2 linked regions of the Struthio camelus genome follow. The protein of the gene in region 1 interacts with the protein of each later gene in a pairwise test. Links are inferred from orthologs where the notes say so. Each region holds a gene or a part of one and is shown on either strand. Other genes may lie near its edges.

The links. The genes of interacting proteins can lie anywhere in the genome.
Region 2: the proteins of CSTPP1 (region 1) and RAB29 interact in a two-hybrid assay, tested with the Homo sapiens proteins (2 studies listed by BioGRID and IntAct). The two-hybrid records come from large-scale screens. The link is inferred for Struthio camelus from reciprocal best matches to the Homo sapiens genes CSTPP1 and RAB29.

What each region holds. Positions count from the first base shown.
Region 1 is NC_090946.1:39,557,977-39,565,576, forward strand, and holds the start of CSTPP1 (centriolar satellite-associated tubulin polyglutamylase complex regulator 1), read right to left. Parts: upstream 3,092-7,600; 5' UTR 3,004-3,091; coding exon 2,958-3,003; intron 1-2,957. UniProt on the Homo sapiens protein: Regulator of the tubulin polyglutamylase complex (TPGC) that controls cytoskeletal organization, nuclear shape, and cilium disassembly by balancing microtubule and actin assembly.
Region 2 is NC_090965.1:7,514,377-7,522,092, forward strand, and holds the start of RAB29 (ras-related protein Rab-7L1), read right to left. Parts: upstream 3,029-7,716; 5' UTR 2,894-3,028; coding exon 2,770-2,893; intron 443-2,769; coding exon 371-442; intron 1-370. UniProt on the Homo sapiens protein: The small GTPases Rab are key regulators in vesicle trafficking. Essential for maintaining the integrity of the endosome-trans-Golgi network structure.

The sequences.
Region 1 (7,600 bases):
ATCTCAAATAGAAAAACAAACAAATAAAAAAAAAGTAACTCAGGAAGTGGCACATAAAGTTATTTTGGCCACTCATTTTATTAGTCAGTCCATTTTTGGTTTTCAGAAAGGAAAGGGGGGAAAAAGAGATTAAGTGAAGTTTGCCTATCCCACATGAAGAAAGGGAGTGCCATTTCATTTTGGAGACGCTCAAAGACTACATTATGCAGCAGCCTGGGGCAACACAACTTCAGAGTGAAATTGCAGAAAGTGAAACTTGTTTATCCCAATTGCTTACAATTCCACATCAGATAATGGTGATTGTTGACAAATGGTCATTGACATTGAGCCACACCATAGGACAAATGGAGAGGGCATCTCACCTCATCGAAAGAATGGTGATTTCAGAAAGCCAAGTCAATGGAGAAAACATTAAAAGATTTTATGAAAACAGCTTTTTTTTAAACCTTTTTTCTGCTTGTAAGACAAAGTTCAGACAACAGATTCTGTGAGCAGTTTGGAAAGTTACCAAGCCTCATAAAGACAAAAAATATATATATTTTTGCTAACGTTTACAGCTAAGGAAAACATCATGTAGTGGACGTTTTTCCTCTGCTAAACAGAATCACAGAATGGTTTAGGTTGGAAGGGACCTCTGGAGATCATCTAGTCCAACCTCCCTGCTCAAGCAGGGTCACCTAGAGCATATTGCCCAGGATCACATCCAGATGGCTTTTGAATATCTCCAGGGAAGGAGACTCCACCACCTCTCTGGGCAACCTGTTCCAATGCTCTCTCACCCTCACAGTGAAGAAGTTTTTCCTCAGGTTCAGATGGAACTTCCTGTGGTTCAGTTTCTGCCCATTGCCTCTTGTCCTGTTGCTGGGCACCATGGAGAAGAGGCTGGCCTCATCCTCTTGACACTCCCCCTTCAGATACTTGTACACATTTATCAGATCACCTCTCAGTCTTCTCTTCTCCAGACTGAACAGGCCGAGCTCTCGCAGCCTTTCTTCGTAGGAGAGATGCTCCAGTCCCCTCACCCTCTTTGTAGCCCTCCGCTGGACTCTCTCCAGGAGTGCCATGTCTCTCTTGTACTGGGGAGCCCAGAACTGGACACAGTACTCCAGGTGAGGCTGTGGATACTGCAACTTAACAATGGATACTGCAACTTAAACAGAAGGGCATACTAAGTGATCAACAGAACATGCTCTTACACAAGTTCCTGCTCAACCTGACATGCACATACACCTTTTTCTGATCCCAATGCCAGAATAATTTAGAAGGTTTTAGAAAATGAAAAGGGAACGGTAGAGCAGTATGTAGAACAGAGATAAAAGGATACTCACTTTAAGGTACTACAGCTGCCTGTACCTAGCAACTTTGCACATCTCTTAGAAATCCCATTTCTCAAATTCAGATTTAGGTAAAACAGAAAACTGGTTATTCATTCTTCTACTTTAAGAATTTTTGGTCTATGCTTCCTAGATTGTGTTGAGTGATTCAATCCTTACTGACAAGTTTCACACAAGTAAAGTTAAGTGACTTATTTCATTAAAAACAATTAAAAGAAAGTAAAACCAAGTTGGCTCATTAAAAAGAGAAATTTTGCAAGTTGCTGCCTAGAGCAACTCTGTGGAATAGTTATGAGTCTCTCCATTAAAGCGTAGGTTGAAAATGCTGACATGGTGTGATAGAGTAGCACAAAGCTATCTTCGTAGCACACTGTGATGTTCTTCTCAAATATCTGAACTAGCTTCATGCCTAGAATTGAAATCAGTAAAAAGAACTTCAGCAAAGTGAGTCTCCTGAGATAATCACCCTGGACAGAGCACCAAACAAACTCTTCTTTCTACCTGGAGTTTCCTTAACACAGAATAGCATTGAAGCTATGCGGGCATGCACAAAGTATCATAAAAGCAGTCTAGAAGGAAAAGTACAGAGAGATTACACTCCAAGAGGAATTATCTAACTCTTTTGCTTAAATATGTCTTCTTCCACCATCACTATGTATTACCATAACGCACTTCAAAAGAGCAGTTGCATCCCTACTCATTCATAGTTTTGCTAGGCTAAACAAATCAAGGTCTTTAGCCTCCCCCTTGCAAGACAGGTTTTCCATTTCCTGGAAGCTAGCAATATTTCTCTACACTTGTTCCGTTTTGACTTACCGGAGATGGCAAAATGATGTTGGAACAAGCAGCACAAACAAATCCCTACCAATTCTTTGAATGAAAAAGCCACAGTGGATTATGTATACATTTATAAAATCTATTTCCACGCAGCCTGCTGTTCCTAGAAGGTAATGGCTGAAGAGTTTCACTTTAAAAATGCTGACTTGAACATGTTCAAAATGCTTATTACTTACAATCCGTCTTCTCTTTAGCAATCAAATTAAATAATATTGACTTTATTGCATCATAACTGTTTTCAGTTAACACACCAACACCAGAACACTTTTCCTTATTTCACTAGAGCACCTAGCAGTAACACAAACTGTGTGAGAGCCCGTCTAAAAAGAAACAGTCCATTAGGCAGCCGTTGCTTCAGAAGTTAAAAAAAAAAAAAAAACAAAACTCCACGTTAGGCAACACAAGGAGATCTGTAGGAAGCATTACCAATACTACTTTATTTCAGGAGAAAAGCTGCCATTCAAACCATCTCACAACGTAAGACCAGCTGCCATCTACTCCGATGTAGAGAAAGGAGCGTAAAAATAAGGTTGGATCTGCGAGCACGGCAGAAGATGAAACCTAATGGGCTAAACGAGGTTACAGCCTGCCTTCCTGCCCCACAGCAGCAGGACACCGCTGACCACTGCTCACGCAGGGCTAACAGAGCGCGGGGGAGACCCCAGCGCACGCCCCGAGGCCGGCTCCGCCTTCCCGGCCCCGCAGCTCGCCGCCCCGCAGCCCTCCCGGCGGACACGGAGCCACCCCCAGCCCCTCCGAGCTGCCCGGCCGCGGCCCGCTCCTCACCCAGGTACTCGGGCCCCGGCAGCGACAGCCGCTCGGCGCTCAGCATCCTCCCGCCGCCGCCCTCCCGGCTTCCGTCCGTTTCCAAGGCGCCCGACGCTCTCGCCGCGCGCAGGGCCGGGTGTTGCTCGACCGCTCGCCCCGGCTGGGAACACGCGCCCGCGCCACGAAGGTTCCGGGCCGCCAGCCGCTCAGGCGGGGTGACGAGCCCGGCCCGGCCCGGCCTTTCCCCTGGCCCCCCCAACCCCCGGACTGAGCCTAGGGCCTCGGCAGCCTTCTGCAGCCCGGAGGTCAGCACAGGTCAGGGGCTGCGAGCAAGTCTGGGAAGTCACGCGTGACCTCGTGGGGAAGTTGTCCCGAGAAGCGTGCCGACATGGCGGCCTGGCCAGGGGCAGGGGCCGTGAGGCGACACGGCGGCCTGGCCGCAGGGCAGGGGCCGTGAGGGGACATGGCGATACAGGGACAAGGGACACGCAGGGGAAACAGAGTTGGTGAAGCTGAAGAGCCACAGTGGCACGAGGAAAAACATGTAAATACCCTTTCAGGTTAAATTTAAGTTGAAAATCAGAAGGCGCCTAACACCAGAGAGGTGCTGGAAACTTTGGAACAGCAACTGTGAGGGAAAGAGCCGTATTTGAAGGTGAATGATAAGTTGATGAAGGACTTTGTGTAGCAACCTTACCCCAGAGAGCAGGGACTGACCAGGGCCCCCAGTCCAGTCCTTCTGTCTGTGTGGTTGCTCTGCAGCCGGGCCGCTGTTTCCCAGCCCTAGTGCTCCAGAGAGCTGTGGGGCTATGGGGAGCACCAGGAATTGCTTGTTGGTCACAGGAAAGTAGAAAAGAGGAGGGGAGTGCTGAACTACAGGCTCTTTCTGCTCAGTGGGAATGGCCTGGGTTCCTGGGGATCGGAGAAGGCAGAGCTCTTCTTGAGGCTGGAAGCAGCCCTGCTGGGCTCGCCGCCTTTAGAAGCTGAAGAGGCCCAAGTTCCCAAAGGAATGCAGTTTCCTGCATCACCATTAGAAAAAGCTCAGGCCAGGATGCCTTCCAAAAAAAGGAAGGACTGAGGAAAGGTTGTCTATGTTTTTACTGACAAAAGCCAAAGAACAGAAATGAAATAAACTGCTTATGCATGGATATAACCTGCCATTGTTGCAGTAGTGGAAAGAGCAGACTGTCACTGTTGGCAACCCAACTTTAACTTCTACTCAAAGGACAGTCACAGTTAAAATGAGCAAGCAAGTTGTTATAACCGCCCTGTTTTTATCCTTAAAAGTCTTGCTTGGACTACTCTGCTGTCTTTGGGTTGTGCTGTCTTTCAAAGGATATGGCTTAAGTAGAAATATTCTAAAGATGGGTAGCGATAATAATTTGGGAAACAATTAGACAATGAGACACTCCAATGTGAGGCATGATCAGAAAAAAGATAAAATTGCTTTAAAGAAGATAGGTATAACATAGAAAATTATAATGTTATATAAGTGATATGTCCTATAGTAAAGCTAGTTTAGAACAGCATATTTGTTCAGTCTTGTAATGCAGAAAATTCTTTGTGTTTAAAGGCTATACATTTAAAAGGAAGGCAAATTTTTGATACCACATACAATTAGAGTGTGGAAGGAATTGACTGAAGATATTTTTGAGGCCAGGAATTCAGCAGACTTTAGAAAGGAAGTAGAGACTTTCATAAAGAGTTAAAAAAAATACAGGATTGTGTTATTACAAGTTGAAGCATATGGGGAAAAAAAAGAGCACAGAGTCTGGAGGAATATGAGCTATCATACTTCACAGAGAAGCCAATTATCTGACTGATGGGGATTTGGAAAACATTTTTCCTTACATGAAGTTTATTCCATAACTGTTCACTTTAGGGTTTCTGGCACTTTAGGATGAAGTATCTGGTACTAGCTGCTGTTGGAGAGGAGACACTGAATTTGATAGACCCTCTGCGATCGTTAGATTTCAGAGCACAATTCTGGGGCTGTTAAAACTAACATCAAGATCTCTGTTTGCACAAGCAGTAAACACAGTTCTTTACCATCAGGCAGGCAGTTTTGCTGCTGTTGAAAAGCCAAATGTAAAAGCTTTTCCTCTCCTAAAAGGCTGGTAAGCAGAGCTACTAGTAGCCTTCCACAGGTTGTACACTGTTCATTTTGTTGTGCAGTCTCTGTAAAACACTTCTCCTTGATCAGCATCTGCAGCACTCATTTAGAGGAGTCCAATTTTAAATAGTACACTCTAATATTTCTATTTCTCATTCTTTCTGGGATTTTTCTCTTGTTACTTTTTGTTCTCTATGGATTAGACTTTTTTGTTTTCTTAAACCAGCTGAGGGAATCCTTTTGGACTCTAAGCCCGTTTGTGGTTGTAGAAATGATAAATTTCAGCAGTAGTGGCGCCTGACTGTTAATGATTCAAAGACAACTATATGAAAACAAGATGTCATTTCTGGAGCCAGTCATTGACTTTCCCTGTTTACTGTCATTTCTTTCTGGGCTTGCCAGAGCCAGGATTAGGTGAAAGAGCAGATGAACTGGAAGACTCACCTGTTCTCTCAAGCTTGTGATCTGCAAAGGGAGAGATTCTGCCAGTCTGGCCATGGTTATAATCTTTGTTTTCCCGTATTAATCTTAGGGCCCTAGACTACTGCATTTTAATAAAAGTTTTTTTATATTGACAAGGCTCTTCTGGGTCACTGAAAAACATCCATGGGTTTAAAAGGTTCCCCAAGAGACGCAACTCTCACACAGGGACTTAATGTTCTTTTGGACCTAGCCGAAAGAATGACAGTGAAAAACAGTAGTTGTCTTTGTCAACAGCCCCTTAGTAGAGCATCAGAGGTATAAGCCTCACTTTAGGACTTAACCCTATGGAGTAGGTTCCCAAGGTCATTGCCTACCGAGAGAATCCTGGTGGTGCTTATATTCCTTAGCTAAAATCACCGGGTTTTGTCCCAGGGACATTTAGGAATCCAAATCAGCCTTTCAAGAGGATTAGCTGGACTACATTGATTTATTTTGTGGGCACGCTCAATCAGAATTGGAGTGACATTGATCTGATTTAGCTTAATTCACTTTCAAAGAATGGTTTAAGTAGCCTTTCAGAATTCATACCGTTAGGTAAATTGGACCAATTTATATCCTGTGCCCACAAGTTTTGAAAATACTCAGTGGTATAATTTGAAGTATTTTATGAGAGATAATTTCATTATGATGTTATAATGCATGGACTGGGAAACTCCATGCTGTATCAGTTTTGTATGTGTTCTCAGCAATTTTGCTTAGATCAGATTGTTGTTCTCCTTCGCTCCCACATACTTTACCCTCACTGTGTTAATTATCTTGACTGTTTTTATGTTCACCGTTCTACATGATGCTATCAAAATTGATCTGAAATATTTTCCCTTTTATTAGTTAAAGGTCTGCTGAACAGCAGTTCCTCTTTCAGAAAGGGTAGTATATAGAATAATAAACAGGACTAGATATCAAGCAACAAATTCCAGAGGAAATGCTTTGTTTTAAACAGGCTGACTTATTTCGTCTGGCTCCTATTACCTTTTTTTGGAATAAAACATTTTATTTGCTTAGAATGTTAACAATTATTGCTAAAGTAGCTGCAATAAAGCCTGAACATATTGGAAGGAAGAACTTAACTTTTCTTTCTTTCTTTTTTTTTTTCCAGAAGGCAGTTGGAAATGCTACTGTAGTTGGAAATGCTACTGCTGTTACAGCTAAGACTTACAGAGAACTAGGCTGTGGGAAATCTTCAGCGCTGTTCCAGTTCTGATTTCTGTGCAATTAATGTAAGCCAATTTCACAAGAAACACAAGGAAACTGTTTATTGCTTTTCTTGTTTACACTTTGAGTCTCCAGAGTCTTTTCCTATCTTAAAACAGTTAGCTAACAGTGTTTCTTGTGGTGGACTTAGCTTTTTGGGTTTTGGTGGTGGGTTGTGTTTTTGGAGGCCTCCCACGCATTTACTAGCTGAGCTCTACCTCATACATGACAGCTAATACTATTGCCGGTGTGATAATAAAACATGGTTATTTTAAGACACCTGACAAGCAAACCATAGTAAAAGGAGAAAAACATTGAACTAAAAGAAAGAACTATCCATCTTAACTGACAATCTATTATTTTAGGCATTGTAGCAGAGAGAAATTTTGAGGCGAGATCTGAAAGAATGGAGAATAAGAGCTTCACATGCTATTATTTATGTACGTTATAGGAAAACCTGAAAGTGAAGTTAGGATTCTGTTATGTAAGATGTAAAAATCAATGGAGATGAAGCAGGATGATTCATTTATGAGTCATTTGCAAAGCCGTAAAAACTTCCAATTGAATTTACGATTTAATAATTATATTTATGAATTATGATAAAACGCTCTACACACATTCCCTAAAATTAAATAAGATATCTTAATTAAAAAGGTCAGCCAAAAACACAATGACATTATATTATCAAATCCATATTTGCGTATTTTTAATTCCTCAGAAGACACCTCGTTACAGAAGAAGACCACCCTGTGCTTATCTTAATCTGAGCCTTCTCAAGCTCTGTACTGTTTGCCTAGTTCATGTGCAGCACAGAGGTTTAGTAGAAATAAACCAATCATCTTTCTCTAATAATGCAGTAGTAATAGTTTACCTC
Region 2 (7,716 bases), on another chromosome or scaffold:
TGTCATGCCAGAGATCAGTATTTTAACAGAGGACTTAGAGCTGAGAAGTTATATATCCAGTTACAAATCACTTGGTCTCCCCATTCAGTCTGCTCTGGCTTTGAAATTGAAAAGAAAGGCTCCGTGGAATTTATCATTTGTGCTGTTGTGTTCTTTGCAGATGGGCTTTTGATTAAATATTTAAATTACCACTGCAAACTAGAAAGAACACTGCAAAGCAGAACAATTTTGCTCCTTGATTTCACAGATTTTGGGGATTTATTTTCATATCAGACTCCTTTGTGGGGGGAGGGAGAAGAAAGGAGGGCCAAGCAATTCAGAGAGCTTTAAATTCTGCTTCTGAACCGATTCGTGGTTCATCTGAACATACCTGCAATGTCCCAGAGCTGGAGTCGTACTGTCTCCGATTCTGACCACTGCACCACCTTCAGAGCAAAATCCACTAGAAAATCCCCCAAAAGAAAGGAGACCCAATTAGAGACATTCACAATATTGGACTTGTTCCCCTACAACCTCTCAACATCTCTCCAGAGGACCAGTCATAAGGCTTCACAGCCACTGCTTTCACAGCAATGGCAATTTGTACTGGACCACCACCCACACACAGCACAGACAGGGGCCAGGAGGGTCTGCAAGCGCTGTCTCCCTCTCCTCCATCACAGACCACTGCAAAATAGGTGTTAAATCCAGAAGGCTCCACGCATTGTCTGCTACGAACCCCGGGTGCTCAGACAGAATTATCACAGGCACACAAAATACCTTCAGAAAAGAAGAAATCAAGGGCATTATCAGCATCCCATCCTCGCACAAGGATGCTACACTTCGCTCTTCCCTTCCTGAACTTTGGATTAGGAGCGCTTTGGGTGGTGCTAAATAACACAATGGAGCAGTATTCCCTGCCTTGCAAAGCCTAGCCCATCTGCTGTCAAAGTCCTCACAAATGGCAGCAGAGCAATGTGGAATTTTCCAACAAACGCAGCACCAGGCAGCCACTGCACTACCCCAAAACACAGGGCTTTTTTGGAATTGGACGTTGCCCACCACCAAGGTTTGTAAAGATCCCACCCACAGCTTCCTGTCTGCAGGAGATACCCATTCTTGATCCCTGCGGTTATAACACCGACACTGTAGTGACACTAACCAAGAGCTAAGGCCAGAAGGAAAAAAAAGTTCAGGAAATAAGAATTCCTCCAGCACATAAGCCTGAATAACCACAATGCAAACAAAAGGATACTGGAAGCCTTATCGCTTGGAGAGCTGTAAGGAAACCTTCCCTCACCCAACTCTGTTTCAGTCAAGTGCTGTTTGGATCGTGCCTTTTGTACTTTTAATCCACAGTTTAAACAGTAGGCCAAAGAACTGGATCTTCTCAGTTAAGGTCAATAACGCACAAAGGAGGAGTTTTAAGTAAAAAGGTCAGAGCTAATCATGCTCCATGCCTCCTTTTAAAACTCATAATCCTAGTGGAAACTCAAAAAAAATGCTAAATGAAATGCTGGATTTGCTGTTGTCGCCTGTCTTTGTTCTGCACTACCTAAACGGTTTAGCCACTGGTACATGGAGCACAGTGTTTCCTTTCACATTTACCACTTCCCACCATCTACAACTCCACTGCAACAAATGCCCAGGGAGTAGGAAAGGAAAACACCGCATTTTTTTCAGAAGACTATGATACATCAAGTTTTCATTGCAGGAGGAAAATTGTCCAGCTAAGCTGTCATCTGTGCTCAGCAGGCCTGCTGAAGCTAGGAACACGTTTTAAAAGAGTGAAAAAAAAAGATTGCAGCTCTCTTACTGCTGCGAATGACTGTGCAGGCACAACTCCAAGCACTTTGTATCTTGCTGCTCCAACAGGATATGGCCTTCCGGTGTTTTCAATTTCTGATTGATTTATTCCCTCTGATTTTGTGAGTGAGATTTAAACAGCCACGCTCTTCCTCCAGTGCTGTGGATCCTCAAAGAGATTTGCTGAGTAAAGCCTTGGCACCGCCTGCTCTTTTTAGATCATTCACTTACACTGGTGCCAAAGAAAGAAAAACATACTCCACTTAAGTCTTGTTCCAAGCCCCCTTGTCTTAAAGCTGTTGTTTCCCCATCTTCTTTCCAAACGCACCATTTTACAGCACGACTCGTATTCAGCAACATGAAATCACTACTAAAGTAAGCCTCAAAGCAATGCTGCTTTGATTTTCACCGGAAAGATCCGAGGCTACAGTCCGGGCCCTCCAGGTGAGGGCTCGGCAGGGCGTTTGTTCGCGAGGCGGGAGGGACGGGGCACCCACATCCCTCCGGCAAGAATTAGCACAGCTGCTCGTTCATCTGTCAGCAGGGGCCTCCTTAAACAGGGGCTGCAAGCGCAGCCGGAGCCGCACCTGAGAGCCACTACAGGAGTTGCAAAATACAGTAATTACAGGCTGATGATGGTTCAGTTCGCAAACTACTGCAAGGTTTTTATGTCCGCAGGGAAGGAGAGGCGCAAGTTTCCCGTCACAGCCTCTGAACAACCGGCTTCTAAAGGCACGTTACGCTGAACGCGGAGCCCGCTGCACTTCGCGGCAGGAGGGAAGCCGCGCACCAGCTTTTCGCCGCGGCGGCCGAGCGGGGCCCGCTGGCACGGCGCAGCCCGCGCCGGCCCTCCCGGCGGGGGCGGCGAGAAGCCGGCAGCCCCTGGCGGCCGGCGGAGAGCGGCGCTGCCGGCCCCGAGCCCGCCCGCCCGCCGCGCTGCGGGGTCCGCTGCGGCCCCGGCGGGGCAGCGCGCCGCCCGCTCACCTCCCACCGTGGACTTGTAGTGCCGGTTGAAGCTGTCGTTGGCGTAGCGCTGCACCAGCGACGTCTTCCCCACCGTGGCGTCGCCCACCACCAGCACCTTGAACATGCGGTCGCGGTGCCCCATGCCGCCGCCCGGCCCGGCCCGGCTCGGCCCGGCTCGGCTCGGCTCGGCTCGGCCCGCTCACGTGACGGTCAGGTGGCTGGAGCGGCGGAGCCGCCGCCGGCGCGGGGCTGCCGGGACGTGTAGTCCGCGGCCGCCGCCCCCGAGCCGGGGCCGGGCGCTCACCCCGCCCGTGCTGAGGGCGGTGCAAGTCCCTCCGCAAGGAAATCTTTCAAAAAGGGCAGAGGAGACGATGAGGGTGAGGTGGGGCTACATCGAAATGCTGGAGACGGGGGCGGGATACGCTGCTGCGCTGCAGCGGTTCGGGAAGAAAAGCTTGCAGGGTAAAAGGTGACGCACCCGCCCCCCTCCTTGCTGACGGGAAGGTTTCGATCCGCTCAGCCAGAGCCAGCTCGGGACCGGGAGAGACAGGCCAGGACGCCGGGCACGCGCGGCCACGCTTCACTCAGCACCCCGGCATTCGGACCTGTGGGACTGCTCAACTGCGCTTGCAAGAATTATATTGCAAGCTCTACCATGGCAGAGAAAAAGATCTGAAGTAGTTTGGGGATTCAAAAGCTAGAAAGCAAGTAAAGCCAAACCACAATGTGTATATGCATGTATATATGTGGGGTGCCTTGTTTTAAGTAAAGCTACAGTTGTTGGGATTCCATCAAGGTAGGATCAAGTTAAGGGCAAAATGGTTCTCCTTGCAAAACCCATTCCCCCTTCCCCTCCTGCTTTTTAGCCCAACCAAAACAATCTACCCCCCCAATCAACACCAAGTCATAGAATGAACCCCCCCCGCCCCCCGCCATGGTACACTGGTATTTAGTGCAGGGGGAAATGACGTGAAGCTTCAGGCAACAGGACACAGGTTCAGAGATTTATAGCCAGCAAGGCCTTGCTGGTTGTTGCCTACTCTTCAGCACTGCTGTAGGTTTGCCGCAGGACTACCCACCGCGCTCCTCGTTCAGGCGAGCAGCGAGGAGGCACAGCCGTACAGGAAAACAGGCCACAGGATAACGCAAATCCTACAGCAGCAAACGCAGAGCCCTGGCAAGGCACCCGGCTGCTGCGTGTTCGGGAGGCTTCTCGGCCTCCCCCAGCAAACACGCAGGACCGCTATGCGCTGCACCCCTAAAACAGCCACAGGCAGAGGGAGGACAGATAACAGGCCCTCGCTGCAGGCATTGCAGCTGCAAAGCCAGGGAAGGGGCTGAAAAACAAACCTTTGCCTGTTCTGCTGGGAACTCGTGTAGCTACCTGGGTCTACCCAAAGGCAAACTAGAAGCTGGCCTGGCTAAAATCTGGCAGGCCATAATCTTATCATTTTCACTAATCATGTTTTTACCTGATGCACAAAATTTTTATTTTGTTTTCATAACTCATTCCACTACATATCAGAAAATTGAGAGTAGAGAGAGAGACCTTCAACCACAGAGTGGCTGCACTGCAGATTCATGCAGTGAATACACAAGACAATCTGTTATTAATTCAGGCAACATAACATGTTTCAAATCAATTATTAAGCCAGAGGCACCACTTGAATGAGCCACTGCCACAGTCCATTAATGCCAACACAAGTAGGAAAGTGACCTTCGCCTGCATGCAAACACGCGCCTGCTGGAGCCCCCGCAGCAGGGAGTCGCTCCCGTCTCTGCTGAGAGGTGCGGCGAGGACGCGCTGAGCCCTTCAGCACCGTCTGCTTCAGGCTCACGGCCTTCCCCAGGCACTCCCATGCCACTGGCAGTCATTTCGCCCCGTTCTAGCATCACGACCAGAAAAATAGAAAGCTCATCCATTTTAGCAAAGGTTGGGTCTCTACAGGCACAAGGGTCTGATCAGCCCTTTCTCAGCAGCTGCTGGGTCCTCTGCATCACATCTTGGGAAACATTAGCAAATTAACCACATCCTCACATTGCAGTGGTCTCTCTCCCCTAAGGCCGATGAAACTTTCCCGCACAAAAACCAGACAAGAATCAGGCTCCCCAGGAGGTTAAGTGTTTTAAAATATTTCTAAAGTAGCAGACAGGAGATGTGACAATAAGGTGGTATGACCGATACCTTCACATGCGAGGACCGCATGGAGAAAACACACCGCAATCCACATAAATAAATGTCATCTTTATTTAACCAAATATAATTTATCAGTTAAGTTGACATCTGTCAATTCAGTTATAGGAACTATAAATAATTAAGACAGTCTTTTTCCTTTAATAAAAAGAGTAAACCAGTATTTTTTCATTTGCAGTCAGATGTAAAGTAGGCATGCATTTGAGTGCAACTGGTGGAAAGTTTTCATCCTTCAATATTCCGAAAATTTAAGTTAGATTCTCCCCTGACTTATTTCCCCCCTCTCACACACCCACGCTAGACCTTATAAAATTGTACATACAGCATCATCCCAGCAGCATGACAGCTTTTAATCACCTCTGGGTCCCTACGTCTTACAGAGGAGACCAAAAGTGGTTGATTCTCCTTCTGGCAAAAATCCTTTCTTAGGGAACTAGATAGTTGTGTGACACCTGAAGAGACCTAGGACCTTTCTCACATATAAGCTTAAGTGTTAATGGAAGGAAATATCAAATCTATTCCTCAACATCAAGCAGAGAAATCAGGTGAGCAGGAGCAAATACTTCAGAAGTCCCTAGGCTAAGACTTCAGTACAGGAGGGTTTGGGGGGGGGGGGGATGGGGGTGGTGCTGGTTTGTTTGAGGTTTTTTTGGACAATACCTTGGCCAAATTAGATTTGTGAGAAGTCAAGTCAGGAGGGTGAAGAGTATAAAGTTCAGAACTAATGTCACGAAAGCACACATTGCAAAGGTAGAAAAAGGGAAAGAAAGCCTTAGGCTACATTAGTAAGGTAGAAGGGGGAAACCCATCTGAAAATGCATCACCTGCTCTTCTTAAGGTCCAAGAGTCAGTATTCTGACAGGGTAAGAATCAGATCTCTGCTTCCCAAATTCTACAAACAGGGAAGGTATTAAAAATAGGAATACTTTATATATACATACTAAAAGAATCCTTTCATGTTTCACAACTTGCTAAACAGTGGTCCCTCAGCAATCTGCTCTTGAGCAGGCAAAAGACTAACTGCAGGTTGGTTCAGATGCATCTGTTTCTGTGGTTTTTCAGAACTGGTTTCCATTAATCCTGAGCTTCCTTTCTAACAGGCTTGTCTCCAGAGTAGGGATCAACTCTGGAGCCAGATCTCTGGGTGTGGACAACACCTGATTTCAGTCTAAATTTGTTCTCGATTTGGATCGTAGAAGGGTGTGTTCACCTCAGCTCTTCCGGTTTTTCGGGGGATGGGGTGGGGGTGAAAACAGTTTCTAACAAAATCCTCTTACCTAAAAAGTAAAAATGGCTACACTTACACAGGGCTTTGTAGAACTCGGCTAGTTCTTGCATTGCCAGAGCAACACACATATCTTCCAACCAGGCCTTATTTCAGATGATCAGCAGCCCCAACAGCACATTGCACTTTTTTCCATTTGAGCACAGAAGCCCAGTGTTGCTGGGATAGAAAGCAAAAAGACAACGAGCATTGGTTTCAATAAGGCCTGTGTGAGAAATACAGAAGTTAACCCAAATGAGGAAATTAAGCCAATCAAGAATGGTCATGTTCTGCTATGAGGAACACACTTAGACAAAGAAAAAAAAAAAAACAGAGAGGAAAAGCAGCAGCCTACAGGCAACCACAAATTCAGCAGCTTTAGGGTTATACTGTGGAGCTGCAAATAAACAGGACAGGCAGTGTGTCCAGAACAGGACCAGAACTGAAGCACTCCGAGCCTGCGCAGCTAAGTACGACGAGAGCTTGGCTGTTATTTCAGGGTCAGGATGTAAGGGGCTACCGTGCTGAATACTGCAGGCATCCCCAGAGTTCTGGAGGATACCAGCAGCTCCCCGAGCTTTGTGTACTGGAGCACTGAAATCAGGCTCCACGCAATATACTGTGTTTTTCCATCTTTCACAGATGTTAAGAGCTTCCCCCCACACACTTCAAATCATGCATTCAATTTATATTCATACATTAAAGCCCGTTGAATGAGGCTGGCTGCCTGAGCATATCATTTGAACATGGTGTAATAGGGTGAAGTTTCCAAGTCAATCAGACCTGCTTACACCAAACTGCATCCAGTTTACTGAATCAATTTAGATCCAAATGGAAAAACTAAAGAGTGTTAAGTGCCAACAACATTCAGCAAGACCATTTACAAATGCCTTAGTCGCACAGCCAGAACAGGTTTTCTCTCATTATGCCGCTGCAGACTTCCAATACGTACTAGCAGGATAAGAGAATGCATCTCAGCATTACTTAGATGAAGAGCACAAAAAGCAGAGGGGAGAGTAACAGAGCAGAGAGCCCTGCACTTGCACAGTACTCAGCCACTGCTTGCAAGCCAGGCTGTAACCCTGACCCCAGATTTCACAAACCTTCTCAAGGGCAAGCTCTTTCCTTTGCTGCAGTCCAGTACAGAGAGCTGCACTGAACTTCAGGACTCGGACTTCAGAAATCAGGCTGCAGCTGCTAACCTGTTTCCCAGCTAGCACTTACACACACCGGAGAAAGCCAATGGCTGAACATGGGCGTCCTTTTCTAAGGGGCACCAACAGCATAACATTCCCAGCTTTGAAGTGCCTCAGGCTCAGCTGTGAGAAATACTGAATGGCCTCTTCCCAGCTGCAATGGGCCCTTCAGCAGCACTCACCAACTGTGAAAGTAAGTCGTAACACAAAAAATAGGATCTATTTTTCCACCCATCCTGAACAGGCTGCCGTGAAAACAGTGCCGTGCCTATACCAGCACAAAGCAGACATGTGCGCGTACCAGCCCTGCA